2 linked regions of the Kluyveromyces lactis genome follow. The protein of the gene in region 1 interacts with the protein of each later gene in a pairwise test. Links are inferred from orthologs where the notes say so. Each region holds a gene or a part of one and is shown on either strand. Other genes may lie near its edges. The genes, in order: BFA1 and BUB2.

What was found.
Region 2: the proteins of BFA1 (region 1) and BUB2 interact in binary tests that used the Saccharomyces cerevisiae proteins (3 or more experiments, as listed by UniProt). The link is inferred for Kluyveromyces lactis from reciprocal best matches to the Saccharomyces cerevisiae genes BFA1 and BUB2.

The regions. Positions count from the first base shown.
Region 1 is NC_006037.1:713,967-717,887, forward strand, and holds BFA1 (Bfa1p), read left to right. Parts: upstream 1-1,380; coding exon 1,381-3,210; downstream 3,211-3,921. Other genes in the region: PRP39 (Prp39p), read right to left, coding at 1-900; pheromone-regulated K(+) transporter PRM6, read left to right, coding at 3,737-3,921. UniProt on the Saccharomyces cerevisiae protein: Part of a checkpoint which monitors spindle integrity and prevents premature exit from mitosis. This cell-cycle arrest depends upon inhibition of the G-protein TEM1 by the BFA1/BUB2 complex.
Region 2 is NC_006042.1:2,446,642-2,449,533, forward strand, and holds BUB2 (Bub2p), read left to right. Parts: upstream 1-1,200; coding exon 1,201-2,112; downstream 2,113-2,892. Other genes in the region: MUD2 (Mud2p), read right to left, coding at 2,107-2,892. UniProt on the Saccharomyces cerevisiae protein: Part of a checkpoint which monitors spindle integrity and prevents premature exit from mitosis. This cell-cycle arrest depends upon inhibition of the GTP-binding protein TEM1 by the BFA1/BUB2 complex.

The sequences.
Region 1 (3,921 bases):
TTCAAACAAGGGGAACGTACATTCGGGACCAAAAGTCCTTTCAGTCCAGTCAATATAGGCTCCCCAGAAATATTCGTATCTTAAACATGGAATCAAACATCTCTCAAACGTCGATTTTATTAATTCTGTACTGAACTCAGTGTTGTTGATTAAGAAAGATAGATAAGCATCCCAATTCTGAATCTCATTCTCGGGAAGCTCAGGGATATTGAAAAATGGCTGTTTTATTTGTGATTCATATGTCCATATTTTGTTCACCTTCTCCTGGTTAGAAATAAATGTGGTATCCAAATGGATGCTTGATTCCCTATTAGCAAACTCTGGGTGATATTCCAAGAATTCCTTAAAGCTGGTGTAGTATCTTGCATATTGATGCAAAGGTTGCTGCATGACTTGTTTGTACACCTCAAATACGTTTTCCCAGTTCTGTAGTCTTGTTTCATATGCAATGTGCTTATCCCAAATATCGTGCGAGAGGAAATGAGATCCCACGAGGGATTCGCATTTCCTGAACTGGTTTCGTATCAGTTCACTATCATTCTGATTATGTGTTAGATAAACGTTCAACATATCAATCCAAAGATCTATCGACGTAGGGAACGAATGTAAAGATGCCTTTAAAGTAGAAATAGACCCTTCTAATCCATCTAGCTGATATTTCACCGCAACGTATCGTTTCCAGTAACCAAAAAATAACGGATACCTTCCCAATAACTCATCAAAAACTTTATATATATTGCTCTTCACATGTTCATTGGGATTATTGTATTTCTGTACCAATGCTTCTGTACCAACCACCAGTTTGTCGATAGTAGTTATATCGTTCCAGTCAACAGAATTATAACTCTGCACCCATTCATCGTTATTCTTCAGAAAAGTTTGGTCTAATCCTTCAAACATTTCATAAAATCCCTAGTTTCCTTCTTAAATTTGATATGCAAACCCCTGCTGCCGACTTCACACTCAAAACGGCTCACGGATAGCAGCTAAAGGCTCTTGTTCTGTTTGGTGGCATCATGCATCTTTAACAGAGATTTATCTTAAAGAATTACAATAATACGGTTCTTTGCAATTTTGAATCATTTTGGAAGCATGAAAGAAAAACAAACAGAGATAAACGCGCCTAAATGAGTGTTTAAAAGGTAATTATTAACTTAGTCGAATTCTGGGAATCTCAGTGTTTTATAGGAGTGCTCGAAATGCAGAATTGGCGTCTCAACAGCGGTTTAAACAGCAATTAATATAGTATCACGTCTCACGAATATGATTATTTTGTTTAAGGTTAATAGATACATCAATGACGGAAGCATTAAAGGTATGTTCGAGATGTAAACAAAGGAATAAACAAGGGAAAAGACCAGGGACAATCTTCGATTATCGATGTCTATACGTCCAGTTGTACTGGATGATGTCGGAGAAACATCATTTGAAGATGTTGAAAGCACATTTACTTATAAAGATGATATAGAGGTACCGAGATTGGCACCTAATTCAGCTACATCCACAACTACGGAAAATACCACATTCTCTAAGGATAAGAGGTATTCATCACACACGGAACTGGCGAGCGATCTTGATGATGATATGAACTATAACAGTGATTTTGAAGAGTACCAAAATGGTACAGACCTACCTCTTGCTGTGGATAGACGATTTAGGGAAAGTTCGGATCAGGACGAGCTAGCTGATTTGCAAGAACAACTGGAGAAGAAGCTATCATTGAACCTGAGAAATTCTAAGACCGGTGGTGGTAGTGGTACTAGAAATGTGGATCAATATATAAACCATGCGGGACTAGTGCGGCCATCGTTGAAGGATTCGGTACGACAGCGTAGATCGATGGTCGATTTGGCAACCCGTAGTAAAGGTAATATTACAAGCTTGAATTCACAGCAATCGCGTCGAGTACCGAACAGCAGGTCTTATATGAACCTTAGACCCAGTTCTGGTCGAACTCTCAGTTATAAGTCATCTATGCCATCGTTAATGAGGTTCAACCGTCAAGATGTGTTACTTGAGGACGAAGATGACGAAGATGACGATGAAGATGAAGATGATGAACCCTATCCATATGTGCCCAGAGTTAGAAGGAGTTACAGGGATCTTGGACCAAGGTTTGGTGAAAGAACTGATGACGGTAACGTTGTCCAAGACATTGCTGTTGAGGCTACAGAAATGGCTAATAATGGAGACGACGATGACGATAATTTCGGTAATGATTTTGAAGGAATTGACGATAACTTCCAGTTCGCTACTAATAACAACAATAACTTTTCAGCATTTGATCCAACATTACGTTTATCACCCTCAGAGTATGATATCGAACATGATGACACTTTATTAACACCACAGCTGCATAAGAAGCATTATGCGTTCGACGCTCCGTTGGATTCGTATAGGGAAGCTCGTCAACAACGGGGTACGGCAAAACAGGCCGCTGCTGCTGCTGCTGTTAACAGACGTAATTCTACAAGAGCTCGTGCTCGTTTAAAGACAATAAGACAAGAAATTGATCTCAACACGCCGTTGAAAAGAGGTAAGATGAAATACAACCCAAGGGAGAAACGATGGGATGGTAATGAGGATATTTTAAGCAGTTTCGATAACATTGAAAATGTCGATCGGAAAGCGTTTATCATCAAGAACAAAAGGTCAAAGTCTCCGTTGAAGACTTCGTCCTCTACTCAAATAGCGGCATCAGGGACGAATGCGGCCTCCTCAAATTCTCAGCATGGGAAGGTCGTGGGAAAAATGAGATTTGATGAAAAGAACCTAAGATGGCTACGAGTTGATGGTACTGAAGAAGATCCGTTTCATGGTATCACAGACTTGATGCCAAGATCTCAATCTTCACCTACCAAGAACGTCAAATTCCAATCACAAGGACATTCTGGTAACATTCTTCGATCACAGTCTCAACTGCCGTTCGGAAGAGATGAGCATGGAAATAGATTTATCTCTTCAGAATCCACACGATTCCACTCTTTGACTACAAACTCAACCACAGATCCTACGTACCAAATTACAAGCAAACAATTAGAGAAGTTTTACCATGAAGAGAATAAATGGAGCAGGAAGGTAGGTGGATGGTTCATTCTTGGTGATAAATCTAGAGACACTGGTTCCGCAGACCAGTCACATACCAGTTTAAATGACAAATCATACATGTACGAAATCAGGAATATGGTTATCTCATCAGCGCGTAACTGATTCTGAATCAGTGTCCTGACATGTGTCACCTACTATAGCATTTAATTTATTCAGAGACAATAACTATACATATAAAAAATCATCTTTTATGATAGAACGGAATAATCTCTCTAACATAACATCTAGGTCATTCTATGTTACAAAGCCTATCGCACTACATATTCGGCACTGATTTCCTTAATATAGTCCCTTTAAAACCATCGGTTTTTGTTCAGAATTCGATTATAGATCACGGTCAAAGAATCTTTTTATAGGAAATCAACATTTCCTTATATAACAACATTAGTTTTAAGATGAAACACGAAAGTAAATAACAACAGTTGGAGGTTTAGAATAGTCTATTTGGTACTTAAGAGACATTATATTGGTGGTATCATTGTATCCCATATCAGAATCAATTTTGGAGCTCCCAATCAGTATCTTTTTGTTTTATCTATGGTATATGATTCACTTTGAGATTATTTATAGATACTTGCAAAGACTGATCTGTTTAGTCGAATAACCTGAGTGCATTCCCTCTTCTAATATGTTTGATAATGATAGAAAGTTGGATCTTAACTCTAAGACCTTTGATGTGCTTGATCTCGAGCTGTTCAAGAACTATAGATTCAAAACTGTGGTGAGTTATGTGTTCATCTTTTGGGGCTTAACAATTTTAAAAGTGGTACTCTTCGCATCAGACATCTATACATGTATCAAGCTATTAGCTTT
Region 2 (2,892 bases), on another chromosome or scaffold:
CTTCATTTTATTTTTTCCTTCCTTCTATAATTTCTTATTCAGTTCAATGGAATCGGAAAAAAATATACAGGCTCGAATGAGAAAGGTTTTTGGGCCCAGGCCCAAAAATCAAGGCCCCGAATAGTCTCCATACATTGCCAAGAAAGTTTTTCAGTTTTTAGCTTTTCTAAATAACTACAAGATAAGGCGCAGTATATTGAGAATTGGATTTTTTTCATCAATGCTAATAGCGGATCACTTCTCCACCGTTCTTGTTCCGTAGGTGGAGGAGAGCCTTTAGGGTGAGAAGCGGATGAGGAAAGGGTATCCGTAACGGCCCCATGTCACTGAACGTGCCAGAAGCCCTTTGTGAGCGAGCACCAAGATTTGTCAGTTTTGAATCTTGGCAAACGAGTAAATCATGCTCGATTCCGGGCCTTTTGCGTTGTCATTCTTCTTGAGTAGGTAATCGGTACACATAGAAGTGTGCTATATCTAATCTATCAACGATGCCAAGTTTATCTATGGCTGCACTTGGGCCGAACGCCCAGTACTGAACGTAGGATACTTGCCAATTTTCGCTTTTTCAATTTATTTTTTTATTTCATTACGAATGAGAAATACATTATTGCACCCAGGGAAATTTCATGGAATGGTCAGTTTTCTACTGTAGGTCGAAACTGCAACTCTCAAACTTGCTGTAATTACTCTATTTTCTATACTCTATATCGTAATGATGTTCCTATTTACCAGCGTTCTTTTTCTTTTTTGATAATTTTCATACAAACACTTTTTTTCCACCATTTTTGAATTGATATCGAGTTATGTACAATTTGAACGAGTCAGTCTAGGTGTTTAATCCAGAACCGTGAAAAAAACAGGGTGCCATTTTATGATTATGTGTATATATGCATGCGTATGTGAATCTTTTTGTCTCTAACACCGATAATATAGTCTTGGCTAGTTTTCTGTTCAGACGGTATTCTGAAAGCTACATCTGCTTCGACCTTCTTAACAAAATCCCGATCCACGTGATCGAATTATTTGTCACACCGGGTAATTAACATATCTTGGTTAGCCTTTGTTTACCATTTATGCGAAATATGGATCTGATCCAATGCATAATATCATCCATATGTCTAAAAGGTGCATATATTTTAGAATAAGTGGTAATAACGCCAGTTACTGGCCAGTACTCTAGCAATTGTCGACGATATCGAAATGTCGATTGAAAAATTCATCTCTCAGCCACCGCTCATAGTTCATTCTTCGCTTTCTCAACTGCGATACCTCGTGTTATCAGAAGGGTTGTCCGATGAAGATCATCAACGTACAAGATCTCACGTTTGGTCCATCCTCTCCCGAGCATCGCTGGAAAAATGTACTCAGGAATACCTGCGGCTAGTACAATTAGGCGCACCACCATCGAATTGGATCTCTAAGATTAAAAATGATACTTTCAGAACGCTATCCACAGATGAAAAATTTAGGAATAAGGTCACTGAATCGCAACTAATTAGAGTCCTATCTTGTTTCGCATGGGATGTTCTTGATAGTAACCAAACACATGAACTTCCAGGTCTTTCCCCTTATGTGCAGGGTATGAATGTGCTGCTGGCACCCTTTCTATACGTTTGCCCGACCGAACCTATTGCATATAAACTGTTCCATTCGCTTTGCTTCCAAATGATACCCACTTATTTGAACCAGTCTTTATCCGGCGTTCATGTAGCAGCCAAGTTATTGGATAAATGCTTAAAGATCATTGACCCTAAACTGAGTAAATTTCTAACAGATAATTTATTGACAGCAGAGATATTTGGCATTCCCTCAATATTGACTTTGTCCGCCTGTAATAAACCACTGGATCAGGTTATTAAACTATGGGATTTCATGTTCGCTTATGGATTTCATATGAATATCCTTTTCATTGTGGCTCAGTTAGTCATAAATAGACAGGCTATTATGGTTTCTTCCTCTCCTATGAACCTTTTACGTGAGACACCGTCTATCAATGCAGATGAAATCATCACCCTAGGAGTTGGTTTTCTAGCAAAACTACCTGATACGTTGTATACAAATTTGGTAGATCATCTTACGGATGAATCAATTACAATGTCTAACCATCTATAAAATACCCATATCATAATCCGTCTCGCTATAGTAACTACATAGAATGGTTCTTTGGCAGAACTGTGACCCAGGTAACACCAGCATTGCCTTTTCAGCACCAACTAAATCCCTGAACTTAATAAACACCTTCCCAATGGAAGAATGAATGTGACTCATATCATTACGGTAGTCTGGGTTAGGTAAGGGGATTTGGACTGACTCCACTTCACCACAACTTTGAATTGGCGTGCCATACATCATAGCTTCCTTGATCTCAGTGACAAATTTTTCATTCTTCAAATCCATTGGATCAACGCTATTCAATACACATACAACCTTACTAGGCTTTTTCTCGTACTTTTTAACCAGGTGTGGGAAGTTTTCATATGTGATTGATTTGAAATTCTGCTGCATACTGCTCTGGTTTGGTCTGATGGTCATTGGAAGCTTCTTTTGATCTTCTGCTTTGGGTTCATATAATAACGCTTTAATCCATGAAGTTCTCTCGTCACTCCCTTTTAATTTCATTAGCTGTAACCAACTGTATTCGACTTGTTCATCAATTAACCATTGCTTAGTACTTTCTTCGTCTTCACATTCGGGGCCAAGTTTTAACAACGAAAGCACTGATCCATGATTTATCGGTTGCACGTTTCCCGTGTCGTTGACACATCCATTGGGACGTGACCAGATAAACTGACTGCTGATCTTTGATTCTAAGTACTTCTGGCACGTTAGTACTATGGTCACGAGGCTTTCTTTATTAAACTCCATGACTATTCTGTTCTTTTCTATTATGCT